7 linked regions of the Mus musculus genome follow. The protein of the gene in region 2 binds, or shares a complex with, the protein of the main gene of each other region. Links are inferred from orthologs where the notes say so. Each region holds a gene or a part of one and is shown on either strand. Other genes may lie near its edges.

What was found.
Region 1: B9d2 (region 2) and Tmem216 share a complex: the UniProt entries of both Homo sapiens proteins name them as parts of the tectonic-like complex. The link is inferred for Mus musculus from reciprocal best matches to the Homo sapiens genes B9D2 and TMEM216.
Region 3: B9d2 (region 2) and Tmem67 share a complex: the UniProt entries of both Homo sapiens proteins name them as parts of the tectonic-like complex. The link is inferred for Mus musculus from reciprocal best matches to the Homo sapiens genes B9D2 and TMEM67.
Region 4: B9d2 (region 2) and Tmem107 share a complex: the UniProt entries of both Homo sapiens proteins name them as parts of the tectonic-like complex. The link is inferred for Mus musculus from reciprocal best matches to the Homo sapiens genes B9D2 and TMEM107.
Region 5: B9d2 (region 2) and Tctn1 share a complex: the UniProt entries of both Homo sapiens proteins name them as parts of the tectonic-like complex. The link is inferred for Mus musculus from reciprocal best matches to the Homo sapiens genes B9D2 and TCTN1.
Region 6: B9d2 (region 2) and Tmem17 share a complex: the UniProt entries of both Homo sapiens proteins name them as parts of the tectonic-like complex. The link is inferred for Mus musculus from reciprocal best matches to the Homo sapiens genes B9D2 and TMEM17.
Region 7: B9d2 (region 2) and Mks1 share a complex: the UniProt entries of both Homo sapiens proteins name them as parts of the tectonic-like complex. The link is inferred for Mus musculus from reciprocal best matches to the Homo sapiens genes B9D2 and MKS1.

Annotation. Positions count from the first base shown.
Region 1 is NC_000085.6:10,552,964-10,556,996, forward strand, and holds the start of Tmem216 (transmembrane protein 216), read right to left. Parts: upstream 2,801-4,033; 5' UTR 2,763-2,800; coding exon 2,750-2,762; exon of another isoform or gene 2,736-2,749; intron 2,202-2,735; coding exon 2,100-2,201; intron 1,659-2,099; coding exon 1,566-1,658; intron 1-1,565. UniProt on the Homo sapiens protein: Part of the tectonic-like complex which is required for tissue-specific ciliogenesis and may regulate ciliary membrane composition.
Region 2 is NC_000073.6:25,679,339-25,683,579, reverse strand, and holds the start of B9d2 (B9 domain-containing protein 2), read right to left. Parts: upstream 2,801-4,241; 5' UTR 2,602-2,800; intron 2,423-2,601; exon of another isoform or gene 2,198-2,422; 5' UTR 2,194-2,197; coding exon 2,106-2,193; intron 290-2,105; coding exon 164-289; intron 1-163. UniProt on the Homo sapiens protein: Component of the tectonic-like complex, a complex localized at the transition zone of primary cilia and acting as a barrier that prevents diffusion of transmembrane proteins between the cilia and plasma membranes.
Region 3 is NC_000070.6:12,038,859-12,042,957, forward strand, and holds the end of Tmem67 (meckelin precursor), read right to left. Parts: intron 1,920-4,099; coding exon 1,777-1,919; intron 1,035-1,776; coding exon 954-1,034; 3' UTR 501-953; downstream 1-500. UniProt on the Homo sapiens protein: Required for ciliary structure and function. Part of the tectonic-like complex which is required for tissue-specific ciliogenesis and may regulate ciliary membrane composition.
Region 4 is NC_000077.6:69,069,511-69,073,608, forward strand, and holds Tmem107 (transmembrane protein 107), read left to right. Parts: upstream 1-1,298; 5' UTR 1,299-1,436; coding exon 1,437-1,523; intron 1,524-1,713; coding exon 1,714-1,781; intron 1,782-1,863; coding exon 1,864-1,964; intron 1,965-2,912; coding exon 2,913-3,009; coding exon of another isoform or gene 3,010-3,088; exon of another isoform or gene 3,089-3,235; coding exon 3,236-3,305; 3' UTR 3,306-3,783; downstream 3,784-4,098. UniProt on the Homo sapiens protein: Plays a role in cilia formation and embryonic patterning. Requires for normal Sonic hedgehog (Shh) signaling in the neural tube and acts in combination with GLI2 and GLI3 to pattern ventral and intermediate neuronal cell types.
Region 5 is NC_000071.6:122,257,961-122,261,460, reverse strand, and holds part of Tctn1 (tectonic-1 precursor), read left to right. Parts: coding exon 1-54; intron 55-2,495; coding exon 2,496-2,626; intron 2,627-3,500. UniProt on the Homo sapiens protein: Component of the tectonic-like complex, a complex localized at the transition zone of primary cilia and acting as a barrier that prevents diffusion of transmembrane proteins between the cilia and plasma membranes.
Region 6 is NC_000077.6:22,511,017-22,515,082, reverse strand, and holds the start of Tmem17 (transmembrane protein 17), read right to left. Parts: upstream 2,801-4,066; 5' UTR 2,600-2,800; coding exon 2,500-2,599; intron 1-2,499. UniProt on the Homo sapiens protein: Transmembrane component of the tectonic-like complex, a complex localized at the transition zone of primary cilia and acting as a barrier that prevents diffusion of transmembrane proteins between the cilia and plasma membranes.
Region 7 is NC_000077.6:87,851,991-87,856,014, reverse strand, and holds the start of Mks1 (Meckel syndrome type 1 protein homolog), read right to left. Parts: upstream 2,801-4,024; 5' UTR 2,766-2,800; coding exon 2,686-2,765; intron 2,279-2,685; coding exon 2,169-2,278; intron 1,038-2,168; coding exon 967-1,037; intron 544-966; coding exon 388-543; intron 1-387. UniProt on the Homo sapiens protein: Component of the tectonic-like complex, a complex localized at the transition zone of primary cilia and acting as a barrier that prevents diffusion of transmembrane proteins between the cilia and plasma membranes.

The sequences.
Region 1 (4,033 bases), on a different chromosome or scaffold from region 2:
GTATACATATATCCATGTGTATACACATAGTAATTTATATGTGTATATGTAAAATATGTATAGCTATAATATGCATGTGTGTATGCAAATGTGTATATACATTAAAACTTCAATTAATATGTACAATAATTTAAGTGCATTAAAAATATCTGTTCTTAGACGGGCGTGGTGTCACACGTCTTTAATCCCAGCACTTGGGAGGCAGAGGCAGGCGGATTTCTGAGTTCGAGGCCATCCTGGTGTACAGAGTGAGTTCCAGGACAGCCAGGGCAACACAGAGAAACCCTGTCTCGAAAAAACAAAAAAACAAAAACAAAATATCTGTTCTTTAGGGCTACAGAGATGGATCATGGGTGGTTAAGAGCACTTGCTGACCTTCCTGAGGGCCCAGGTTCACCCACATGGCAGCTTAACAGTCTGTAACTGTAGTTCCAGAAGATCTGATGCCCTTTTCTTCTTCTTTTTAACTTTTAATTCTCACTTGGGTGTTTGTGTGTGCCTACAAAGGCCAGAAGACAACATTGGATCCCCGAAGCTGGAGTTTCAGGCAGTTGTGAGTTACCTGATGTGGATGCTCGGAACTAAACTGGGGTCCTCTTGCAAAAGCAGGAGGTTTAAAAGTCCTTTTAGACCTCTGAGCCATCTCTAGCCTAAGACCTTCTTCTGACCTCTGTGGGCACCAGACATACATGTAGTATACAGGCATACATACAGGCAAAATATCCATCGGCATAAAATAATGACTTTTAATTAAAAAATATGTATATCACAAGCCAAATATGGATACTGTACTGTATAAATCTTTCTGACTAATGCCAATATATAAAAAAAAATTTTTTTACCTTATTTTTCTTGCTTTTCTTTACTAGGTTTGAGCACATTGGCAAGTGTTGTTATTGTTTTGGTGTTTTGTTTTATTTTTTTAGCTAGGATCTATTTAAGATCTATTTAACTACGCATCCCTGTCTGCACTGGAATTCATTATGTCTAATTGAATGCATAGCCATCCCCTTGTCTCTGCCAGAGGGTACTGGGATTAAAGGCATGTGCCACCATGCTCACCTTAGCAAGGTTTTTGGTCCTCTATAATGACTTTTGTGAATTGACTGTTAGTATCCCTTACCATTCTCTCCCTTAGGTTTGTATTTTCGCACTAGGATGATATATTCTAAGTAATCAGCAGTTTTGCTCTGTTCTCTGGTGTCTAGGAACTTCTAGAGAAATCCTTGTTTAGAGAAGCGGAGGGGATCTTGAGCTCTTTAGGAATGTACTGCTTTCCTCTCTCAGAGCAAGGAGAAGACGCAGGCACTCTTGTGGCACTCAGGCAGCTGGGAGGACTGGTCTAAGATCAGTGCTACTGCCCGCTTCTAGCCTCACTCACAAACACACAGGTAAACCTTGACCTAGAATATGAAGCGGCAGCTTGAAGCCTCAGGGAAGAAGCAATGGTATATACATTACCAGATCCACTCTGATAGTGAGCCTAGGTTCTTTGTCTTGTTAATCAAGTTACAGGCTCCAGCATGTCTCATAAGCAATGGAAATATTTTCTGAACAACACTCACCGAAAAACAATCGTATGACTTCAATGCCAAGATAGAGCAGCAGCATCACCACATCCAGGACTAAGTTGGCTGTTGGGTACGGCAACAGGAGCCCTACAGGAGGGAAAGCCAGAGTATGCACACACCACCTAGCTAACGGTCAGCCCCACGGCCCCACAAGGATGGACGGCCACAAACCCGGGACAAGGATACCAACCAGTCTTAACATCTCACAAATCAGCAAGGTATAGATTGTTACAGCTACAGGCTTTAAGTTTCCAAGTCCTGACTCTGCCAAATGACTGAATTATAATGGTACACAGATCTGAATATTTTAGTAAAGAGAGATGGGGAAAGAGTTGGGATGGAGAAACCCACATTTCTCAAACTCAAGTCTTGCTGAAAGACATCCTATTTGATCATTCTAAAGCCATTAGTTGGAGAGACTTCTGCCTTGCAATGGAGATGCCGCTAGGACCAGAAGATAGAAGGTTCTTGGAGTATGCTAAAGTGGAAAAGGGTTGCTGGGGCAGAGGCAGATAGGCCCAGGCTTACCTTTGTACAGGAAAATAAGGAGCTCCAGCAGGAAATAGGTAGCATAGTACCACCCATTCAGAAAGAACAGGACTTCCAGGGGGGTTGAGGACAATCTTTTATCTGAAAGAAAGCAAAACAAAGAATGGGCAGGGCAGCTAGAGCTCTACTCTGTTCTGTGTGAAGGTTCTTTGTAATCCGGAGAAATCACAAGATTATTGTGAATGAGGGAGAAACTTCTGATTGCTAATGACGTGAGTGTTGGTGTGGCAGGAACTGCCTTCAATCTCCTTTCTCAGGAATCACTTTGACATCTACTTCTCTGACAATTCAGCTATAATCACAGCTGAGAGGCACCTCAAATATTCAACCCTGTCACTTCTGAGGGGGAAATTGAGGCACAGAAACTAATTCTGTCCAAGGCGGGAGGATTCATAACTGAGCCATCCCAGAATAGGGCCAGCCGGGGATTTTTAAGAGTACGGTATTCGAGTACCCATGCAGGCACTCGGGGTGATCAGAACAACCCAAGCCCGATTTAGACAAGTGAAGAGTAAGACCCCGACTTTTAGAAATGGAGGATTAGGTCGAGCTCTGGAGACAGAGAGGTGGAGGGGGCTGGCAGGTACCCGTGGGATAAGGGGCAGAGACACACACCTCCAGAGTCTCACCTCGCGGCGCCATGTTCAGTCCCCATGGAAACTGCGTACACTGCAGCGCCCGGAGCAATGCGGCGCTGCCGGAAGCGCGGCACCGAGCCGCCCGGTCTTCTGGCCGCTCTGCCTGCCGGTGCTACTCTATGGTTACCCCACCGGCCGCGCCCATGCACAGAACAGCGCCAGCCGTCAACCACCTACAGTGGTCTAGGGGGAGGATGGGGTTTTAAACGACGGCAGAGAGACCAGAACACTTCTCCAGCTGAACTCTCTCCATCCCCGGCGTCATGGCGTAGGTCGTTAGTGGCCCGGTGTGGCCGAGTAGTTGGAGGATCGGCCCTGCGCCCACCATTCTCTTTTCTACTGCATGTGTTTTTTTTAAAAACACCCCATGCCACTGTCGTGCAAAAGGCTTACCTGGAGCCTATGTAAACACCAAAACCGTTGAAGATAGAATGTCCTTTCTAGGAGTACAAGGGAAAACAGCGGTGCTATAATGAGATTCTCCTGCGACCCAAAGAGTGCAAGGGTGTTGAAAGGAGACAGCGTCTGGCCAGTTGGAAATTGAGAAATGTTTCCAACAAGCTTGCGCTATGAACGAACCCTGGCCGCAATTTGAAGCAAGAGCGTGTTGTTGCAGGCAGGGGGTGAAAGAGTAAGATTTCTGAAAAGACTCCAGCTGTCAGCCCTTAGAGTATGGCAGTCAGTCAACAAATAACGGGAGAGAGTAAGTAACCTGTAATGAAAGTGCTATTTCCCTACCTAGTAGGAGTGTGGATAAAGGCAGTAATTGTTGCTTCTCAAAGCAGGTCCTCACTCCGGGAGAATAATTTAAGTAGAAGCCTCCCTCCATCACTCCCCACCTCCACCTCTGCTCTCCTTCCTCCTTCACTTCTGCTTGTGCCTTCCACTGCCTTATTCAGGTCTGGTTTAGTTTGGCTAGACAGGTCTCCTATGTAGGCTAGGCAGGCCTCAAATTCTCCTGCCTCTGCTTCCCGTCCAGTACAGGGGTTTCAAGTGGGTGTCACAATGTTCTGGCAGGTCTTAAATGGAATTCTAAGTTCCCACTAAAGGACCACGGCAAGGTGAGGTGATGGAGAAAGCCCTGGTCCCTGCACCCCATCTGAACTACCTTCATACACACCCCTGCTCTGAGTCTCAGAGGAAAGGAGGGTGGACCAGTTGCTTGTTTTTGTAAATTATGGGTCTTAAATCACTCTGCCTAAACATTTTGATATTGTATACACATATAGTTCTCATGCTACAGTGAAAAGTTTACCCATTGTCAACAGAGATGAT
Region 2 (4,241 bases):
CTAGGGTTCTGAATAGCTCGGGTGAGGCCTCAAATGCACTGCTCTAGGGGAGGCTGTACCAGAAAAGGGACCCACAAAGTACAGGGAGCAGACAGCCATGGTGTTCCAAGCCCAGCTCCTCTTAGTTTGACTGCCCCTCCCCATCCTGTCATCCTGTACCCACCTTGGAGACCTTTAGTAGCGAAGTGCAGGTCAATGGGGTGGGACCAGTAAGCCATGTCCCCTATCTGGGGTGTGTCTACCTGTGTCTGGCCTTCTCGTACACCTGAGAGGAGCTTCCATGCGGCCCCTGTAATGAGAACCAGGACATCAGGGTTTGGGGGATAGCAACCTTCAAGAAGGGGACCTGCCGTGGCAATGAGTTTGTTCCCTCTGGTATCTGGGAGTGGGAGTTACACAGTGTAGACTCTAGAGCCAAGTGTCTGGATCCAGATCTTGGCACTGGCAGTGTACATCTGAAATCTCAGCACTTGGGAGTTTGTTTGGGGCTTTCTTGGGCTGCCTGATGAGTGTCAGGTCAGCATGGGCTACAATGTGGGTCTCAGTCTCTAAAGAAAAATTGGAGGGGTTGAAGAGCACGTGAGAGAGAATAAAGCCAGGCAGTGGTGGTGCACACAGTTGGTCTTAGCCCTGGGGAGGCAGAGGCAGGCTGATCTCTGTGACTTCAAAGCCAGCCTGGTCTACAGAAGGAGTTCCCAGGGCTGCCAGGGCTACACAGAGAATCCCGTGTAGAAATCCTGGCACGATTCATATATGTGTTCTGTATTTTGCAGTGTTAGGGATGGAACCTAGAGCAGTACATATGCAAGAGCTCTCTAGCAACAGTCTACACTCCCCAGCCCAAGTTGATGCAACCCTGGCAGAGTAGCTTCTCTCTGTTTCCCTGTCTATAAAACAAGCGACAAAAAACACAATCTCACAAGTTATGAGAGGACTCACATAGCAAGGATGAACTATGAATTTTTAAAATATTATTCACTTGTTAATCCTCATGACTGCAGCTGGCGATGTGATCCAGAGGCACACGCTCTATGCTCTGCTGATGAGCTGCACTCTCAGCACCAACAGAGAGCCTCCTTTCTTAAGACAAGGTCTCATATAGCCAAGGCTAGCCTCAAACCTCTGTCGTAGCTAAGGATGACCTACGCTCCCCGGGTGACGAGATCCCCAGCATTTTCCTTCCTCTATGCACCCCACATTCAGAAGCCTCCGTCAAAGACCAAGAAGAGACTGGGCACCATCTGCGAGCACATCACAACCCCAGTGAGGAGCAAGGAGAAGCAGTGCCCACATACTGAGCACTACACCCCAGATGCTCTGCTAAACGCTCTGGGCAATGCCTTCACCTTATCTGCTCTCTGGGATTCTAACTGCCCCCTCCCAACACACACACACACACACACACACACACACACACACACACACACACACACGAAGCTTTCAGACTCCTCACTGTTGCCACGAAGGCCCATGTGTGACCTGGATCCTGTCACTCATCTGCCACTGCCGCTCCCCACCCTCAAGCCTCACTGGTCCCATCCTGTTCCCTTGCCTCAAGGCCTTGGCAGCGGCTGTTCCTTTTGCCCTGAAACGTCTGCTACTGGGTGCCCATTTCCGGCTGTTTTCCTCCTGCCCCCCAATTCAAGTGCCACTTGCACAGAAAGGCTTTCTCTGATCTCAGACCTCCACATCCCAAATCAGCCCCCAGCACATCACTTTCTTTTTTTCCCTAGAACTTACAATAATCTTGTATATATTTTGTGCTCTTTTCTTTGAGACAGGGCCCCAAACTTGTAATAGAAGGCTTCCTAGGTGCTGGAATTACAGATATGCATAAGCACACCTAGTTTGTCTACTGGCCTGAGGACAGGAAGTGTGTGTGTGTGTGTGTGTGTGTGTGTGTGTGTGTGCGCGCGTGTTTTCTATGTCACAGCCCCATATGCTTAGGGGCTATGTTTTCCGATGGTGAGATAACATGAAAGACAAGGATAAAGAGAAGCAAACAGTATGAGTTCATTGGAGAATCGAGGAAGGAACATGGAGACTTAGGCTAGGGGAGGGAGCTGGGTATTGTTTGGGAGATGAACAAGGTGTGAGGAGGATACCTGTGTGGATGCCCCACTTGCAAAAGAGGCTGCTTTCCGAGAAACCGGTGGCCCCTATGATCTGCCCGATCACGTGCACTTCAGCCATGGCTCTAGGAAAGGAAAAATTCAATCACAACCCTGTGAGGTAACTGTATTATTTCCATCTGACAGCTGGGAAAACTGAAGCCTATCACATAAAGAACAGCACTGTGATTCTAAGCTAGTTCCACCAACCCACTGACAATGTGGCCTTCATCACAGATACAAGCCACGTCCCCAGAAAAGCCCAAGAAAAATGGGGAAGTCTCCCAGAGGTGTGGGAACCTGCACCAATAAATAAACCAAGGCTCAGACGCTTAGAAAGCCCCGCCCCAGGGTTGTGGCCCCGCCCACATGTGCAAGGCCCCGCCCCTTCGCGGCAGATCAGCCAAGCTTCAAAAGGCGCATGCGTCTCGTCTCGGGTGTAGGGCCGCTTTACCCTTGCCCGTAGGCGTAGCGCATGCGTCATTCCTACCTCCGCGTACTTGACCGTTAGAAGTGAAAGCTGCCTCGGGGATGGTAGTTCACGGGCTTCTTTGCGGGCGCCGTCGAGACTAGTCTCGCTCCCCTCCCGGGCCCTTCCAGGCGGAGGGAGATCTGAGGTAGATAGATCCGCAGCCTCGCTCTCCTGGGGTGCCCCGACTGTTGCTGGGGCAACAGCAGGTTCCTCCCCTGAGCCCGCCCTGCGTGCTGATGATTGGTGCTATAGCTGCCCTCTGGGGGGCGGGGCGTAGTCGTGATGGACGCGGTCATTCGGGACTTTTTTGCGAGAATTGCATAGGTCTTGCTCCTGCGACGCCTTACGCCCCAGAGTGGGAGGCCTGGCGGGTTATCTCTATCAGCAGTTGAGGAAGTTAGAACGCCAACTGTTTCCTCTCCATATCTTCTTCACGCAATAAGCAAATCTATTGATGCTCTTTGCTTCCTCAAAACAAAACACCTTTCCTGTTCAGGATCACAGCCAGAATGGAGCCAGCCGACACTAAACGGGCACCTAAAGGGACTCCCATAGTAGTCATCTCTATGTTGTAGCTGGAGGGGAAAAAAGGACCTCCATATTCTGACACTAGAGAAATTGGGAAGTGGGTTTCTCTTCAGTTTTCAGAGCTTCCTCAGATTTCTCAAGGACTGAGAAGTCCAAGTTCTTTCTCAGAGTCACTGCAAAGTTCATTCTAGCAGCTGGTTTTGAACAAACAGGTTGGAGTAAAGATAAATGAGGAAGACGGGGCTGGAGAGATGGTGCAACAAGAGCGCTTGCCTCACTTCCAGAGAACTGGAGTTCGGTTCCCAGCATTCTGTAACTCCAGCTCCAACTCTGCCCTCTTCTGGCGTCCCAGAGGACACTTCCCACCCTCAACCCCTGCCCCGCGCACAGGTGGCATACACAAATAATAAAAATAAATCCTACAAAAGGAAGGAAGAAGCCCCTTTGGCAGGAAGTCAGGGAAGAAAGCCTCTCTCCTTTATATATATATATTTTTTTCCCAAGTCGGAAACAAATTTTAAAAATTTTATGATGAGTATTGTGGCTCATGAGAGACTGAGGCAGGAGGAATGCTGCAAATTTAAAGCCAGCCTGGGCTATTAAGTGAGTTCCAGGCCAATCCCCCTTAAACAAACAAACTAAAACTAAAACAAGAACTTAAGTCGTGTGTGTGTGTGTGTGTGTGTGTGTGGTGTGTTCAGGTGTATGGGTGGTTGTTTGTATGGTGCATATGTAGAGGCCAGAAGATAGCTCGTCTGTGTGGTGTGTGTGTGTGTGTGTGTGTGTGTGTGTGTGTGTGTGTGGTGTGTTCAGGTGTATGGGTGGTTGTTTGTATGGTGCATATGTAGAGGCCAGAAGCTAGCTCACCAACCTCCAAGGTTGTCCCTAGAAGCTATCCACTTTTTTTTCCTTCCAATTTTCAGGATATGTGTTACCAACACTAACACCACTGTTTTTGTGTGCTTGCTTTTTAAACATCTGTTGTTTGCACTGGTGTTTTTCACGTATATCTGAGCACCAGGTGCATGCAGTGCCTGCCAAGGCTACAGGAGAGTATCTGGCGTTCTGGAGAGTGCATTGCAGGCAGTAGTGACCACCCAGGACACACGGTAAGAATGGAACTTGAGACC
Region 3 (4,099 bases), on a different chromosome or scaffold from region 2:
GGCAGAGTTCCTGAGTCCTGGGTCCCTATGATCCTGGGAGTGTTAGAGTGCCTGGGAGTAGAGCTTCCTCTGAGTGCTGTGGGACTGGCTGTGGTGTTTTAGCCCAGGGTCTGCTCAGGGCACCAGCCCAGACCGGAAGGGACTTTAAACGTATCTTGAACCCATTTTTTTTCCTTAGTAGAAAATAATCTACTGACTCATGAAGCCAAAGTTTGCTTTCAATAAAGTAGTCAACATAAGATAATCTATTTACAGCCTATTATTTTTAATATTTAGTTATAATTGAAAAGCAACACTTTGGAGGAGTACTCTTTAAAATATCAAAATGTGTGGAAAAAATCCTATGTTGTGAAAAGTATCACCCAGTTTAACAAATGTAAATGACACAGAAACCAGATACATAAAGGACTGGATTTGTACCACACCCTGCTGTGTCTAATGGGGACCAGTGACAGACAGCCTGAGTTATTAGAGTAATCAATAACGCAAACCAAAATTTTAAGTAAATTTGAAAATACCTTTTGAAATTTATTTAACCTTGAATATAAATAAAACATGAAAATACGGAGCAGAACTGTAGTTTTGAGCCTAGAATCAAATAGATTTGACACCGTGAGGAAAAGCAGGCAGGTCATGTTCTGAAACAATGGCAAGTTTCAGCCTGCTGTCAAGACCCGGGACAGCACAGAAAGTGGGGCTGGGAGGGGCTTGTTTGTTTTTGTTTGTTTGTATGTTTGCCTCCTGGTCAGTGTTAATGTACTATTTAGTAAATTAAATACAACATATAATGGGGAAAGAGTGTTTTTACTATATTTCATATTTCACAAGCTATAAAAATAAATCTTTCTGTAGATAAAAAATGGGAGAATAATATGTATTACAAGTTTTAAAAAATATAGCAACATCAAGTCTTGGCCATATTATACTGAGTCCTTAAGTTCTGTATTCACAGATTAGATCAGAAATCTTTCATCCACTAGTGTTTTGGTTGCCAAATTCTTTTGTCCTACTGTATTTCGGATAAATCGGAAAATCTGGAAAGGCAAAACAATTAAGAAAATTAAATATGCAAATCAATTTAAAATATCTAAATTAAACTAGCTAATTTCCCAACCACTTCATATCATGAATGAGATATTTTCATTATTAGATACAATTATTTTAAAATACACATATTAGGAAATGTTTTATGAATTAATATATACTTCTCATGCTCACAAGAATATGCTTTTAAACACACAAGGAATGTAACTTCTGAAGCTATGGAAAGATCAAAAATATCTCCCTGGTAAGGGCAGAATTTGTCTATGATTCTAAATCCAGGCATAATAAACCATGGAGTAACTCATGCATTCCTCGCACAGGAGGGTTTGGGTGCCATTTCTTGAAATAGTCCACACAGTAAGGCTGTGTGCAATTGGCTACAGCCCTGGACCACATCCCCAGTGCTTGCATCTTCTATCTGAATGGGATTTAGGAAAATTCATGCTCACTCTTACTTAGTACGTGGGAGACTGGTGGCAGTTAAGTATCTTCCTAGGTGACAAAGCCACTTCTTCCTTCTACTGGATCCTAGTGTATTTTATTGACCCCAGGGACAGAGTGCACTGGGGTCTGTTGAGTGGCTCCTCTTTCCTTTGGTAGTGTTAATTATATTCTAAACATTCACCAAACCCTACTGAAAGTGGATACTCTTACCATTCTGTTAAGAAAATAAATACCCCCACTTCTAACATTTCTGCTTGAGAAGAAATCAAGATATGCTGCTAGATTTACCTCTTGTTGCAGGTATGTGAGGAAGGATGCTAAAACAAAGTCCTGGCAAGCCAAATCCACAACACAGAAGAACAACAGATCAAAGATGAGGAGCGTGGCCTCGTTCCCATAATACAGCACACTGCTGAAAGAATGGCCTTCATCTACAAAAAACATGTGCAAGATGTGTCAAACAGTGTCAGAAAAGGTCTGTGCTACCCTCTGGTGACAGCAGATTAAACATGAAGTATGTTATGGCTCACACTAAAGTAAAAGGTGTTAAAATTGCCAGTCTAAAATTCAGTCAAAGCACTCACAAAAACTCAAAAGTAGTAGTTTTAACATCAAAGCAAATGTTGATAATTGCTATGGTGTGCATATGCTAAGAATGACTTTAAAGAGAAGTTAGCGAATATTCATCCTCTGCATGTAGAAGTAAAGGCTAAAATAATCTTAGAGATAGTGTCTAAGATAAAGAACAAAAGATAAAAATCCAAGTCATAGCACCAGCATTTGAGAATTCCCGTGTCAGTTATCTATAGTTTTGTCCTCTTTGCATTCAACACACAATTCTGTTCTTTTTTTTTTTTTTTTGGTTCTTCGAGACAGGGTTTCTCTGCATAGCCCTGGCTGTCCTGGAACTCACTTTGTAGACCAGGCTGGCCTCGAACTCAGAAATCCGCCTGCCTCTGCCTCCCAAGTGCTGGGATTAAAGGTGTGTGCCACCACGCCCGGCAATTCTGTTCTTTTGACAATCTGAACACCTTTTAAAAATACCTTGTAAGTGCTATAGACCCTGTTACCATGGAAAATAAACAAAAAAATCCAAATGTGCACTGACCCTTCCTCCCAAGAGCTGCTGTGTTACATTTCCTTAATGACACCTTTTCCTACATGTCTCAAATTATCTTCAGGTGCAACACAATCTTTGTCCTTTCTCTCAAACCTTGTCTTCCTCCTGCATACCCTGATTAAGGAAAAGCATCACTACTAATTACATCTAGACATCTAGGTAATTTTTGTCTTCTACTCTTCTCTTTTAAAAAAGTCATGGGTGATGGTGGTAGTAGTGATGTGTACCAAACACCCTTTCCTAGTGTATCCTAACAACTTCTACTAGAGTACCCTAACACTATCTCTGTGTACCCTAACACCTTCTTCTACTGAACCCAACAACCTATCTTAGTATACTCAAGACCATTTCTTAGTGTACCCTAACACCCTCTCCCAGTGTACCCTAATACCCTTTCCTAGTGTACCCTAACTCCCTCTACCAGTGTACCCTAATACCCTTTCCTAGTGTACCCTAACTCCCTGTACCAGTGTACCCTAACACCCTCTCCCAGTGTACCCAACCCCCTTTCTTAACGTGTACCCTAACACCCTCTCCCAGTGTACCCTAACACCCTCTCCCAGTGTACCCTAACACCCTCTCCTAGTGTACCCTAACACCGTCTCCCAGTGTACCCTAACACTGTCTCCCAGTGTACCCTAACACCCTCTCCCAGTGTACCCAACCCCCTCTCTTAACGTGTACCCTAACACCCCTAACCCAGCACCTACCCCTAACAGGCTCTGCTTTAAGTTCTTTGCATGTGATAATTCCATAAAACCTTTAGAAGGTCTTACTAAAGGTCACACTTTACAGAGAAAGGGGCTTTAAAAGATCAGAAAGGTTAAGCAACATTTTGAAGTTCACAAAGATAGTGAGTGTGGAGTTGGGTTTTAAACTAAAGGCTAGAAGTCTTTGAAACTATCTTCCCAATGGCTGGCTCATCTCTTTAACTCAGCCTGCGCCATGCTGCCATGGTAACTCACCCACCCTCTACACTGGACCAGTGTACACACTTCAGTAGCCATTCCATTAGCAGTGGCTTTCACTATGTGTCCTCACCAAAATCAAATGCTGCTAAGATACTCTCAAATTAGACAGATCTTTTTACCTTTAAAAACACAGGTTAAGAATAATGAAATGACACATTTATGAAGTAATTTTAGTATTTCATACCTCCATGGATCAATTTACATATAGCTGATGGTGCAAATTAAATATTATTTCTATAATATAAAGAGAAACTCACAAAACAAATTCTTTTAGAATTGGGAACAAAACACTCATGGAAGGAGTTAAAAATTCTCTTTTAAAATGGGGCTTGAAAGATGGCTCCACAGCTAAGAGCACTGGTTGCTCTTTCAGAGACCTGGGCTTGATTCCTAGCACCCATTGACGTGGCTCACAACTGTCTTGTAACTGGGGGCTCCAATGTCCTCATCTGGCTCTGGTAGGTACCAGGCACATACACGGCACACTGACATATATCAAGCAAAATACCTATAGACATAA
Region 4 (4,098 bases), on a different chromosome or scaffold from region 2:
CACCTCAGTCTTTTATAATAAAAGGGGGCGAGGGGGGGGCAATTCTTTTGCCTGGTTTGGGATCTCAGGTTCAGTTAGACACCCCCCTACCCCCCGTTCATTTAGAAGACCTCCAGTCTGTCTTTCATGACCTTTAACTGGCTTAGGAAAGGGAACCCCATGTATTACTTTAGGGAGACAGAATCATTTCTTCTTCTTCTTCTTCTTCTTCTTCTTCTTCTTCCTCCTCCTCCTCCTCCTCCTCCTCCTCCACCTCCTTCCTCTCTCTCTCTGCCAATTCCTTGAAACAAAAATTTAAGAAGTATCTATTTTCAAAGCTTCCCTTTGATATTATTCTAGTATTATCTTTTAATTTAAAAAAATTATAGCACGCATTACCTCGCTGGGTTTTGTTCTTGTTTTGGCTGTTATCAATCTCCCCACCTAGAATATAACCTGGAGGGACTTTATCGAGGTACTCTCAGATTTGGGGCACAGTGCCTGGCATCTGGGAGACATCAAATATTTGTTGAATAGATGAAATCCCTCTGGTCCTGAGCCTTGTCTTTTGGGCTGGTTTAGAGGCACAAAGAAAAAGGAATGGAGGGACCAGAGAGTGCAAGTGGGATGGGAGGTCCATTGACATGGGACTTGATTGTGAACTGGAAAGTGCTGAGAACTTTCCGATTCTCCGATCTGCAGGGATTTCATCCGAAGCCCCAAATCGGTCACATCACCCTAAGAAGAGGTTCTTGGTCTGTAACTGAGCAATGTCCGGGGCCTAACAACTCAGAGCAAGAGTGAAATCGGTGGTGGGTCAGCGTCCCAGCCTAGGCTAAGCGCAAGCAGTTCCAGTCCCCCGCTCCATTCTTCACCCTTTCAGATCCCCTCGGTTCCCGAGGCAGTCACCTCACCCACATCCAATTTTAACCATCCCAAGGCTGCTCATTTCTGCACTCGGCAAATCTCTCATGACACGGAGACAAGTTATTTAGGAAGAAATTAGAGTCATTCTTCGGCAAAGTTTTGCTCTAGGGCGGAAGGGGGAGTCCTCTGACAACCAGGGGCTAGGGGACTTAGCCTGACCCTGGGACAAGCTCGGTGCATCAGCCTCTCCTCGTTCGTCCCCTCGACTCCTAGCGCCCAAGGCAGTGAGTGGGAAGCACAGGAGAAGGGAGGATTTGGTGGTTCTGGCTGCATCCTCTTGGGTCCATCAACGGCTCACGTACCGCGCCTATAGACGTTGGTAGAGGGAGCAGCACTATCGCGAGACTTCCGAAAGCAGCAGCGTGGCGCTTGCGGACGCAGTTACCATGGCAGCCGGGCGGCGCCCGAGCGCGCGGGAAGGACACTTAAGTAGAGAGGTCTGGCCTGCTTGCTCAGGGAGACTTGATGAGTGACCCACCCCAGACTTCCAACCTCAAAACCCACGGCCTCCACTCGAGGCCCCCGAGGCCATGGGTCGGATCTCCGGGCTCGTGCCCTCTCGGTTCCTGACGCTCTTGGCTCATCTGGTGGTTGTCATCACGTTGTTCTGGTCCCGGGTAAGACGCGGACAGGGCGCGCGTGCGCGTGCCCTCCTGGCCCTCCCATTCTCATCTTGGAGTGGACCCAGCTCAGCTCAGTCCACTCACACAGGGTCCGTTCGTTGCTCCGTTCCCCGGCCCCTTCCCAACTTGTCCCCGCAGCCCCATTCCTCTTTTGACATTTCTTTCTTTCTGCCCGGCTCGCCAGGAAAGCAACATCCAGGCTTGCCTGCCTCTCAAATTCACCCCGGAGGAATACGAAAAGCAGGACAACCAGTGAGCTCTTGGGGCGGGGTGAGAGTGCAGGGGTCTTCAACAGAATCCAGAAACCTTGGTCCAAGCCCTTTTCTCTCTGCAGGCTGGTAGCCGCGCTCTGTCTCACCCTGGGCCTCTTTGCAGTGGAGCTGGCTGGCTTCCTCTCAGGAGTCTCCATGTTCAATAGCACCCAGAGCCTCCTCTGTATCCTTTTTATTTGGCCATCGTCCTCAGGTGACTCATCCCAGTTACCACTCTTTCCACCTCTGTAGGCCTTTGGGGCACAAGTGTCTGCTCTACATGGTAAACCGAATCTCTCTCTAGGTGAGAGGTTTTAGACACTGTTGGGGAATTAATAGACTTCAAACATTCGTTAAATCCGGATGTGAGCCAGGTTCTGGCGATCCCTGGATGGGAGTAAAATCATTTTATCCCGTTTGAAGAGGTGGCAGACAAACATCTGTAAATCAGTGTGATTAAACAGTATGCTTGTAGGTGTGTGTAAAATACAAAGCACTATGGGAACTCAGAAGGGACCAAGAAAATAGAGCCCAGGTGTGGTTCTGCAAGCCTTTAATCCTAGTGCACGGGAGGCAGGGGCAGGTGAATTTTTTGGGTTTTTTTAAATCTTATTTTACTTATATATTTAGGTTATCTAAGACAGGGTTTCTCTATGTAGACCTAGGCTGTCCTGGAACTCAGTAGACCAGGCTGGCCTCGAACTCCGAAATCCACCTGCCTCTGCCTCCCAAGTGCTGGATTAAAGGCATGCACCACCACTGCCTGGCTTGTTTTGTTTTGTTTGTTTGTTTGTGTTTTTAAAAAGGTAGCTCTTTACTCTTGAATTGTGGACAAGGAAGACCAGGGCACTGGAGAAATCCCCAGTGTATCAGATCTGTAGGTATTCTTGTGTGGCCTAGGGCATATATGACATTAACCTTCCCAGAAGTGTACAGAGTGTACAGGGAGAGGTCCTATCAAAGCAAACTCAGCTCTGGTCTCTTACACATAACTGTCCATAAATTCAGAAGGCATTGGCTGCCAACTCTGGCGCTTGTCTTAAGGGAAGGGTACAAGCTGAACCCAAGTCCAGGTACCAACGGGGCCCATCACGAACCGATTACTTTCCTTGACCCCCTCTGTATTGTTAAGCCATTGCAGCCCACTGTAGCGCGTCTGTGGCCCTGTCTTTCTTCGTATTCGAGCGATGGGAATGTACCACGTACTGGTACATTTTTACCTTCTGCAGGTGCCCTAGCACCCAATATTTTGGAATGGGGGGGGGTGGTGGAAAATCGATCCCAAATCTGAAGGTTTCCCCCACCTAGACCTTTCCTGCACATGTGAAATTGGTAGAGTTTTGAAGAGTCATACCCACCCTAACCCACCCGCATATAAGGTTTGGAGGTTCAAGTGTTTGGGTTGGAAGGGGCTCTAACTCCCCCCCCTCCCCCGCGGCCCCGTACTTTTCACAGCGCCTTCCCAGCTGTCACTGAAACTGCATTATTCATCGCTGTCTTTGGGCTGAAAAAGAAACCCTTCTGATCACAATCCGGGTGTAGGGACCAAGGCTGGAAAAGTGATGAAGCTTCCTCCCACTGCTGCAAGAAAAAGGCAGAGGCTTCAGTTTTCTCTCGCCCAAGTCCCTTGCTCCTCCCAACTGCGGCTAAGCAGAGGATGGCAGTGTTGGAATAAGATCTCTCAAATCTTGGATTATAATTTTATTAGAGTTTTGTAATAAAATTTATTTTATAACAAGAGCAAGGCGTATACTATTTTTCAGAAGACCATTGGATGGGCCAAGAGGCTGGTATAAATAAAGGCTTTTATCTTGTGGTTAGGGCTAGAAGTAATGCTTCTATTTGGGTTTTTACGCTAGAAGCTAGGCGGAAGTGAGTGGGCGGGGATATGCAAATAACTATCTCACATAGCGCTTCTAATTTGCCGCGTGTGAGGGGAGCATTCTGGGATGGTTTTGTTTCTCCCTTTTTGTGCCGAATGGAGAATAAAATACTTCAAACGACTTGCAAATAGATATTATTCTTGCGTTGCAAGAACTGTAAGTCACTGGGCTCGTGCTAAAGTGACGTATTCTCACCCTTCCTTTAATAGGAAATGTCTCTACTTATTTAGCAATGGGCTCCCTCTGCCTTTTATCGTCAGGAGGTTAATCCTTACCTGTTCCTCCTTTCGGAGGGCAGTAGAAAATGATGATTGGAGCTTGCATGATCTGCTGATTAGCATTTCCATGCAATCAGGACCTGACAACATCCTGGTTGCTCCTATCTGATTCCCTGGCGATCACACTTTTCCAATGTGCTGATTGGTAGACCTTTAC
Region 5 (3,500 bases), on a different chromosome or scaffold from region 2:
CTGCAGCCCTGCAGATTTCAGCATCTTCTCTGCCTGCTCAGTCCCAGTTGTCACGTAAGCATACGACATTGTCACGTAAGCATACGACAGGGAGGTTTGATGGCCGTTTGGCCAGGATGATAAAATGTGGGGACAGGAATCATGTTCCACACTCCTCAGAAGCCCTGTGGGCAAAACCCTGTGTTGTCAGAAGCAGTCACTTGTCCCGTGCAGCTGCTCAACAGTGTGGGTGATGGAGGGACACGTGTGTGTTGCCTCTAGAGTGTTATGAAGTTTGGAAATTAATATTTGAGCTGTGCACAGATAATGTGTCACCTCTTTGTACCTGTGAAATAGTCTCATGGCAGTGTGTGTGTGTGTATGTATGTATATATATAGATAGATAGATAGTGTATGTGTGCATGTATGCATGGGTGTGCTTGTCTTTGCATGCATGCATGTTGGCCTGTGGAAAGCATGGGTCTGTTCATTTATTGCTTTCCACCTTCATTTTTGAGATGGGGTCTCTCACTGAATGTAGAAATCATCCCCCTAGCCTACCCCCGATCCCCGGTTGACAGATGGCTAGCATCCTCTTGTCTCCTCCCCTGCCCGGTGCCCTGTTGCAGATACACATCAGAGCCTGGGCTTGGTTTGCTTTTGAAATCCATGCTGGATATCATGCTTCTTTAAAATCACCCTTCAGAAGCAAGTACGTTCCCCACTAGGCTGCGTCCCCAGCCCCTGTTCCTGCTAGGCCGCCTCCCCTGCCCCTGTCCCCACTAGGCTGCCTCCCCAGCCCCCGAATCAGCTCTCTCTGGGGACTTGAATTAGTCAGGGTGCTTTGTGTGCGTCTCTTTGGATGTAAGCGAAGCAAGGCTTCTCAGTTCCCAGTGCATGGGAAATGGCAGAGGTGGAATTCTCACGCAAGTACAAGTCGAAGATGTGATCAGCTCTGAGTGATCTCGGCTTGTTTGTCAGAGGTTTTTGTAACACAAAACAAAACAGCCCTTTAAGAAAGGTTTAAGCTCTCAGGATGGGACCAGCAGATGGAGCTGACTGAAATGCAGGACAGCCACCTAGCATGCTTAGTCCTTTTGGAAACACAATGGACTCTTCCCAGGAGAAACCATTTTATCAGCCTAATGGGGCAACTGAATTTCCTCCAGCATTGTGAAATAGCCTGGAGAGCAGGTGCTAGCGGGGTCCCTTCCTGGCCTCCAAGACCAGAGCGTGTTTAGCCTTCCCTGAAAATCAGTCCGCTTGTCTTGAAACTGCAAGCGAGCCCTGACAGCCCTGAGAGAATGGCGGCTTTTGAATTGAGTGCCATTTATTAAATTGAATATTTTTTTAAGACAGGGTTTCACTGTATAGCCCTGGTTGTCCTAGAACTTATATATAGACCAGGTTGGCCTCAAACTCAGAGATCCACTTAGCTCTGCCTCCCAAGTGCTGGGATTAAAGGTGTGCACCATTGCACCACCACGGCCTGGACACCCATACAACTTTTAAGAGCTTCCTGTTGGCTGAGGGAGATGAGTGAGTGAGCCAGGGCCTGAGGAACACCAGGGAATGAGGTCGCCTCAGCTAGGCCAGGGAAGGCCTTCCTGAAAAGATGGTCTGAGCTGTCCTGTATGAAGGTTACCCACAAGTTATGCAGCAGAAGAGAGGAGGGCAAGGTGGCTCAGTGGGTAAAGGCGCTTCTTGCTAGCCTGAGTTTAATCTTGAGGGCCTACATAAGAGGAGAACTGACCCTTGTAAATTGTCCTCTGACTTCCACACGTGTGGGATGGAAAAAAGTCACACACACACACACACACACACACACACACACACAATAAAAATACTCAAAGCAAACTTCCTAGTATGTTTTTATATTTATTTTTTTATGTGTATTTGTATGTGTGTGTGTGTGTGTGTGTGTGCACTCATGCACATCTGTGTGTATCTGTGTGTGTCATGGGCAGCACCATACATGCAGTGCCTACAGAAGAGAGCATCAAAGCCCCTGGGACTGGAGTTACAGGTATGAGCTGCTTGCTGTGTGTTCTGGGAACCGAGCCTAGGTTCTCTGTGACAGCAGTAAATGCTTAGCCACCGAGCCGTCTTTCCAGCTCCCAGAATGTCATGATCTCAATGGAAAGTGTTCTGCACTTTACTCCACACCCAGCAGGCTTCCCTTAAACAGTGTTGTTGTTGTTGTATTTTCCGAGTTAGGGTCTCACTGTATGGCACTGACTAATGTGGAACTTGCTGTATAGATCTGAACTCCTAGACTCACTTGTCCGGACCACCCTGGTGCTGGGATTAAAGCCGTGCACTGCCACAGCAGACAGAATCAAAGCCTCAGGACCACCCTCGTACCCGCAAGTAAAGCCACATGGAGTCTCTGCTGACCTGACACCTTCATCAGTGTCCCTTAGTCGTATTTCTGTAGTGAAGGCATCTGAGAAATGTAGGGTGATCTGGCTTAGATTGTGGACTGAAAACTTGCTGTTGCTTTCTTTGACTTTCAGGGGTGACAGGCAGTTTTGTAGTCAGAAGGCAGCCTTCTACTCAATGAATTTGACAGCAGACCCACCTCACCGTGACTTTAAACTCATTGATCAGATCAATCCTTCCGTCTTCTGCATCCATATTTCAAACTGTAAGTATTTGGATTAGATTTTAAAAGTTACTGTGTGGAAGAGCACCTCCTCACTCAGCTCCATTTAAAGCACCCAGCTTCTGTGTTGACTGTGTGAATAATTCAAACCCCAGGGCTGATTTACAGGCAACTTTATAGATCCTGGGCACACACACTGTCTTCAAGAATTTGCTCTGTAGCTGCCTTTATCTTACACTTCAAAGATGCCTTGTAGTCAGAGAGATCCAAGTTGTGTGTGTGTTTTGTGTGCATGTTTGTGCATGCACGTTTATTTCCTAGTAGAGTAATGGCTAAAAATGAGTCTCATTTTTAAATGTTACCTGTGGTTTTCCATTTCCTTTTTCTTTTTTATTTTTACTTAGAAGATTTGCATGAATACAGGATCTTTATTTTTAACCCGAGCAGTCAGCTCAGGCGAGTGTGTTGGTCCCCCATGCTCCTGAGTGCATGCTGTTCTCGGGATAACAAGCCCACTCATAGCTCTGTCAGCTAAACCTCATCATCTCATTCCCATGTCTTTCCATGTTTGGCATTTGTCCCCTCATGACTGAAGACCTGGGGGGAATGTGCTTATCCAAAGTGACAAGTGACAGTGACTGTCTAGCCATAACTGCAGCCAAGTGGACATGGAGCCTGCCTCCTCTTCTTCCTGTCACTCACAGCACAGGAAGTGGGTGCCAAGAGATGAGTGGTATTTTCTGACAGCCACCCACGGAGAGTGTCCCCTAGAAGGAGAAGAAGCAGACTTCCATCCATGTGCTAGACAGACAGAGCAGCCTGACCCTTGGCTTCTGCTGTGTCGTCTCCCTGTAGGCCTTCAGAGCAAGTACTGCCACACAGTTAGATGCAGCCCAGTCGAATGATCCTGCTCCTC
Region 6 (4,066 bases), on a different chromosome or scaffold from region 2:
AAGAATTTTTTTTTTTTTTTTTGGTTTTTTTTTGAGACAGGGTTTCTCTGTGTATCCCTGGCTGTCCTGGAGCTCACTTTGTAGACCAGGCTGGCCTCGAACTCAGAAATCCGCCTGCCTCTGCCTCCCAAGTGCTGGGATTAAAGGCGTGCGCCACCACGCCCGGCAAGAATTTTTTTTTTCAAAAAGGTTTATTTATTATTATATGTAAGTGCACCATAGCTGTCTTCTGACACTACTATCTGAAGAGGGCATCAGATCTCATTACGAGTGGTTGTGAGTCACCAGGTGTTTGCTGGGATTTGAACTCAGGATCTTTGGAAGAGCAGTCAGTGCTCTTACCTGCTGAGCCATCTCACCAACCCCCTCAACAAGAATTTGATTATAAAAATTGAACCCTAAAAATACATTATAAATTTAACTACATTCTTATTTTAAATTGGTTGTTCTAAATGTAAGAATTTAGAAATTACAAATTCCTTGAGACTGTTTTTTGTTTTTCTCTGCATAGTTTTTTTTTTTTTTTTAATTGACATTTAATACTTTTAAAACAATCATGGGGTTGGAGGCTGGGAAGATGGCTCAGCGGGTAAGAGCACTGACTGCTTTTCCAGAGGTCCTGGACTTAAATCTTGCACCCACATGGCAGCTCACAACTGTCTGTAACACAAGCATACATGCAGTCATACAAGCATAAACGCCAATGCACATAAAATAAAAATAAATAAATTAATGAAAAATTCATGGTCTCTAGAAGCAAATTAAGTTTTAAGAGCAAGGCTGACTATTGTGGTCTGCTTTTTCTTGCTTTGACTTCTTAAATTATCCCAAATATAGGAATGATTTTTTTTTTTCCAAGTCGGGGTTCTTTGTAAAGGCCTGGCTCTCCTGGAACTTGATCTGAAGACCAGGCTGGCCTCGGCCCCTGCGTGCTGGGAGTACAGGCATGCACTACTACCTCTGGGCTAGGAATTTTTAAAATTTGTTAGCGCTAAGGAAAATCCACTAGGATTTTTTTCATTATTATTATTTTACTTTGGGCAACAGTACAATTCTTGATCCATTGTGGGTGTGATCTTACAGTCAGATTCGCCAAGAAGAAAACAGGAAAGTAATTACACACTAGCTAAGCTGATACTTTTAGAACCTTTAGAGCAGAAACTGTAGTCTTTTTTTTTTTTTTTTGCAAAGAGACTGAAGCAGGAATATTTCAAGATCAAAGCCAGTCTGGACTACTTAGAAAATTTCAGGATAGCCCAGGTACTTCTTGATTGCATTGTAACCAAATAAATTTTGTTGTTGTTTGTTTTAAAGGCTATGGGGATATAGCTTGAGAAGAGTGGCTGTTTAGAATGTCAGGGTTTTGATTTTATGTAGGCTCATGTCCATACTTCAACACATCAAATTTATACAATTGAAAAATCAGACCAAATGAAGAGGAACCACAAGGCACAAGGTGTGAGTTCATTAAATTTTACAAAAGTTCCAGTTAAGTTCTGTAATGAGATAAAATTTAAGTATTATATAATTGGTCAGACAAATTTTTCTGACCAATTAATTGCCTGTCTTGGCAGAGACAGTGAACTTAAACAGCTTTTCTCACGTTTGAATGTCTGGGAAAACAATATTTTCTGACACGTAAGAACCATAAGAAATTACAGGGCTGATGTCTTTACCTAGTTCTATTGCTGTCCACACCATCACGACTATCTAGGCTGCTGAGGCTCTAAAGAACTTCAGAACAAATGTCACCCCCGCCCCCCCCACACACACTTTTTTTCCCAGAGACTTTGTATTATTCGATTTTAGTGCCCCGTACGGCTCACACTTTGAATCGGAAACACGAAATCCTAATTTTACAGGCTTTTCTCCATATAGCGTAAATTACACGAATGACCAAGGTGACAACATGCAATGATGGCAAGTGGTTTGCTTTTCAATGCCCTATTTAAGAAATAAAAATAAAAATAAGAAAGCCCAAACCAAGCCATCGAAAGGATTTCCAATTCCTTGATTTCAAAGGAGACAACCATGTATGCTGTCCTCCTGATTGAGGAGGCAGAAGCTGGAGTTAACTCGTTGGTATTTCGTTTTTAGATTTCGGGAGGAGAGTTTTTTATACAGGGAGAAAGAAGGAACAGGCAGAGGAAGGCCTTGTCGGTTTGGCAGCAGCCGGTCTTGCTCTGCTAGGAGGGGTTTGGACACAGCCCGGTTTTGTGTGAGCCGGCGGCTGTCACGCTGGGGACTCAGCGGGGACCCGCGTGGGGAAGAAGGCGTTCCTGATCCGCATCCTGATCCGCTCGGCGACCGCGCCACCGGGTGCAGTAGCTGCGGCGGCGGAAGCGCGTGGTCTCCCGGGTCCGCCGCAGGGCCGTGGTTTCTCCCGGGGCACAGAGCCCTGGCTGAAGCCGGAGCAGCCATCTTTCACCCGGGCACGGCCTGTGCGGCCTCCCGCCCGCGAGCCACACCCCCGCGTGGGCCTGCGCCCTCGCCACTCACCGGCCGCATCACTGGACTCTGGCCCGGTGCGGCTGGAGTCGCCGAACACGGTGAGGCTGAGGTTGCTCAGGCGCTGGCGAACAGGGTCCGGCAGCTCCATGCCTGGCCTGCCCGCTGGCCTCTCACACACCCGCTAGTCGGCGGGCACAGCGGCGCGTGGCGGTTCCCTTGGCAACCGGGCAGTGCGGGGCCCCTAGGGACCTGGTACCTGGGCTTCCCCGAACGCTACAGAATCCTCCAGAGGCTTCCCCTTGGAGAGGCGAGCCAGGGCCACGGGCCCGCAGCCTAACGTGGCCTAGTGCTGCTGAAAATGGCGGGTTCCTCCGTCTTGCTTTAAAGCCGCGTCGTCTTAAGATGATCACAAGTAATAAGCCATTCGGACCTGGGCTGAGCCACAAGGAGCTCTCACACCATAGCAATTCCTCTGCAAAATTGGTGCACCATTTCTTGAGGGAAATGGAAAACGAACATAGATATTTTAAAAAAATGCCCTTGACATTCTTTTTATTATTATTAGATATTTTCTTTATATACATTTCAAATGCTATCCCGAAAGTTCCCTATACCCTCCCTCTGCCCTCCTCCCCTACCCACCCACTCCCACTTCTTGGCCCTGACATTCCTCTGTACTGGGGCATATAAAGTTTGCAGTACCAAGGGGCCTCTCTTCCCAATGATGGCCAACTAGGCCATCTTCTGCTACATATGCAGCTAGAGACATGAGCTCTGGGGGTACTGGTTAGTTCATATTGTTGTTCCACCTATAGGGTTGCAGACCCCTTCAGCTCCTTGGGTGCTTTCTCTGGCTTCTCCATTGGGGGCCCTGTGTTCCATTTTATAGATGACTGTGAACATCCACTTCTGTATTTGCCAGGCACTGGCATAGACTCATATGAGACAGCTATGACAGGGTCCCTTCAGCAAAATCTTGCTGGCATATGCAATAATGTCTGGGTTTGGTGGCTGATTATGGGATGGATCTCTGGGTGGGGTATTCTCTGGAAAGTCCATCCTTTCGTCTTAGCTCCAAACTTTGTCTCTGTAACTCCTTTCATGGGTATTTTGTTCCCTATTAGAAGGAGGAATGAAGTATCCACCCATTGGTCTTCCCTCTTCTTGATTTTCTTGTGTTTTGCAAATTGTATCTTGGGTGTTCTATGTTTCTGGGCTGATATCCACTTATCAGTGAGTGCATATCTAATGACTTCTTTTGTGATTGGGTTACCTCACTAAGGATGTTCCTCAGAAAATTGCCCTTGACATTCTTAAGAGGGTGGATGAGCCAAGCATACCTGCTTCAGAAGACAGGGAAATAACTTAAAAGTATTGAAAGCAGTTGTTTCTGGAATATAGGTGATTTTAAAACTAAAAATATCAGCCTTTCCCTGCTTTCTCTTAAGACATATCATTTTAGCATTTAGAAGGCAGAGACAGGAGATCTCCAGTTTAAGGTTAGCCTGGGATACATTGCAAAATCCTCAAAAACCAAAACAAACCATTAGGTGTAATAGACATAAAGAAAAGCACAGTCGGATGTATTAGGTCCCAGGTCAGTCAACAGTATCAT
Region 7 (4,024 bases), on a different chromosome or scaffold from region 2:
AGTAATGGAAGAGAATGTAAAACAAGCCCACAAGGGCTCAGGGACACAGGCTAAGACACAGGTATCCCCACAGCCTAATCATGTTCCTCTTCTTGCCTATAAACTCCTGACTTTGACTGAATTGTAAATGGATTGTTCTAGACCCTGCCCATCTATGTCATCAATTCCTATGCTATCAGGTCCCATGGGCCCTCTGACAGGCAGAAGGACATCACCTGCATCTGCCCACTGCAGCCTGGCTGCCAGCAGCTTCCAGCAGCTTCTAGAACCATCTATGTTCTATATCGCCCCATTTACTGGGCTTTCCACTTACAACCTAGAGCCAGCGAGGCTAGAAAACCAGGGGAGACAAACAAGAAAGCAATGAGGGCCCAGAAGGAATGATACCTCTTCCAAGTCGGTGTATCTATCCGAGTCAGTGTAAGTGAAGATTCGCCGGTTTTTCCTGCCGCCAGAATTCTCCAGTTTCAAGATCTCTTGGCGGTACTGATGATCCAGTGGGCTCTGGCACGCGGATTCATTTTGGTACAGGTCGACTTCAAACTGAGGTCACCACAAAGAAACAGATCAGCTGGGACTACCTCAAACTTCGGTTCCTGCAGCTACTGAACCAAATCACTTCTAGCGCTAGCTGACACGTTTTGAAAACCGACTGTCACTTTGTTCAAAAAATGAAGGGCAGGGGGAAAAAAATCTAAGAATATTCGAGTTAAAAGGATCCAAGCTGATGTTCTAATCCAACCTTGTTGCTAGAGATGTTATAGAGCCCGGAGATGGGGAGTGCCTTACCTAGAACGCTAAACTGAACATGGCAGCCGTTATATTACAATAGCCACATAAACATAACATAAACATAAGTATAAGCCACCACAACCTTTCCTGGAGATGAGTTTGACGGTATGAGTCACTGGCCCGGTGGGAGTCAGGTAGGTGGAGGTAGACTGAAGACAAGAAATGCTGGCTCACCTGGCTAAAGAGCTTTTCCTGCCATCCAATTACAACCTCTTCCTCCTCTTCTTCGTCAGGGCGGTGTCCACCTCCAAACACAACAGAGTGAGTCAGACCAGCAACATTTCTTCCTCTCTGGTTGATTACAACCAGTGTTCCTATTCTTGTCTCATTTGGGTTTTAAAATTTTTTGCTATTGTTGTTTGGAAGTGTCTCATTCTGCAGCCCGGTCTGACCTCACATTCCAGATCCTCCTGCCTCGGCAGAAAAACGCTGACATTACACGTGTATACCACCAGGTCTGCCTTCAAAGTCCCTACTCACATTGACCGCAAACCCCACTGGAATTTAGTGACTCACTAAGCGCTCACTCTAAACATAGAATGCAGGTGGTGGACATACTTTGGTTAATACTAGAAGCAAGATTAGGGCCTGAGGTGTCCTAATCATTACTCTAATTTGAATAAAAGGTAGCTCTGCCTTCCAAGAAACATTCTCTAGTCCCGTATAAGGCACTAGAGTTTAGCTAGAGGCTGAAGGGCCAGCCCTTCCTCAATCCTGGCTGAATTTGCTAGATAAGGACCCTGATGTTTTTCTGAAACCACCACCGAATCATCCAGAAACACAAGATGCATGATTTGTGATCTGCCAGGCTACCCTTTTTGCCTAAGAATATTTCTGAGTAGAAAGAACAATGACAAAAGCATGAAAAATTATTGGCCAAACACGACGGTCCTGTCCTTTCTTTTGGCTTTCAAGGCAAGAGGAAAAAATCATATTTTCGTGCAAACTCCTGTTTTAAAATTGTTTTTTAAGTGTATTTATACATACATTTGGAGTTTGGAACATATTTCTCTTAGAAGTCCTTTCCCCATCCCCCAAGTCACAACTCGGGTAAGATGGCTCAAGCCCCAGGATTCATCTGGTGAAGAGATAACTGAACTGGTTCGCAAAAGTTATCCCCTGAACTTCACTCTCGCACTGTGGCATGGGCGTGCACACACACACAAAAGTAAATTACAATGTAAAAAAATAAATAAATAATAAAAAATTAAAAAGATGATTGCCCAGGTTCATTCAAATGCTTCTATATTCCTCGGCTAGGTGACACTGGGCAATAAACTCAACCTCTCTGAGCCTTCCGTTCCTCCTCTGTACCTCTACTGCCCCGCACCCCTGCCTTAGTCTCAAATGAATGTAGCGTCATCACAAACACCCACTAGCAGCTTGCGGAGGCCTAAAAGTGGCCAAGTCTATGAGGTCCTTCCCCATCTGGGCAGCAGGCTGGTAATGAAGGAAGTTGCTTGATGTGATTCTTTGCAGATGAACTCTGTCAAGAGAAGAGAAGCCCCAAATACGCGTGTCAGAGACACACAGCAAGGAGATATACAGAGCATGAATCGGGGAAAGAAATCACAGAGGCAGAGAAGTCAAGGCTGCTGCAAAGAAGAGGTGGGTAGGGGCGTCTGCTGGATAAATCAGCACAGGGACCCGAGGGGTTTGAAAGTGGCGAGAACTTGAAGGGACTTGGGCAGGGTGAATCTGAAAGGTGTACTTGGAAGCTTTCAGTGGAAAAAGATCCTGATAACAAGACGCGCGCAGAGATGGCAGAGGAAGTAGTTGGGATTGTAAGCGGAAGTAGGGGCCTCTGAGCATCTAAAAGCTTAGGGTGGAATAAAGTTAGGGGGCCTCGGAGCATAAAGTTAGGGGGCCCTGAAACTGGGGTCGAGTGACTACCGGAGGCGCAGGTTGCGCACGGGGTCCCGGGAGCGATACACGGCCTCGCCGGTGTCAGTGCTCCAGACCGCTTCCGCCATGACAGCTGCTTCGCGCTGCGACCGCGCCGGAAAGCGTGGTGCCTCGTTCCCCTGGCAACGGAGACGCTGGCTTCTTAGGCAAGGGAGGCGCTGCGCGCGCAGCTCTCCACGTCTGCGGGAGCCAGTCCCTAGCCTGGCAGCGGGACCCTCAGCTGTCCTGTGTGAGTAAAGCTCACCTCCACCCAAGGTGAAAGTTGGTGCACTGCACAAAAGAGAAAACCGCCATCAGCTACTTTGTTTAGGTGCAAAAATGGTGATGGTGGCCAGAACCAGGTGACCTGAGTCCTTACTTTCTGATCAAACACTGCCTTCCACTGAACATTTGAAAACTTCGGCCTAGGGGGCGTGGAGAAATGGCTTAGTGGTTAAGAGGTTAGTGACTGGACTTTCAGAGGAACTAGCAGGCCCAGATGGCCACTCACACCTGTCTCTACTCCAGTTCCAAAGGGTCAGACACCTTGCCGCCTTACAGTACACATGTGTTGCACAAACATGTTCACCATTATGCATAAAATAAATTTAAAAAAATTTAAGGAGAGAAAACTCAGGCCTAAACAGTTGGTGGATATGACTAAAAGGACATGCAAACAAAAATTAAAAAACAGCCGGGCAGTGGTAGCGCACGCCTTTAATCCCAGCACTTGAGAGGCAGAGGCAGGCAGATTGCTGAGTTCGAGGCCAGCCTGGTCTACAGAGTGAGTTCCAGGACAGCCAGGGCTATACAGAGAAACCCTGTCTCAGGAAAAAGAAAAGAAAAGACAGGAAAAGAAAAGAGAAAGAAGAAGGAGGAGGAGGAGGAGGAGGAGGAGGAGGAGGAGGAGGAGGAGGAGGAGGAGGAGGAGGAGGAGGAGGAGAAGAAGAAGAAGAAGAAGAAGAAGAAGAAGAAGAAGAAGAAGAAGAAGAAGAAGAAGAAGAAGAAGAAGAAGAAGAAGAAGAGAAAGAAAGAAAAAGAAAAAAAGAAAGAAAACATTCCTGGAAGAAAAAAAACCTGTGGGGCAGGTATATTAGTAGTTTTGTTGGTATGCACTGAGCCAGAGAAATAAAAAACAAGGAAGCCAGCAGAAAGGAAGGAAAGGGTGTTTTCCCTGGGGCATGTTGGTTCTGGATTATTAACCAGTTAAGACTCCGAGCCAGCCCCTGAAAAACCACCAGAGTGACATTCAGAAGTCATGGTTCACTGGCACATCCAAGGAAAGATGGTATAAGTTTAATTCCGGCAGTTTGGCAATATCAATATTGACAATTAGTATTTGACGGTT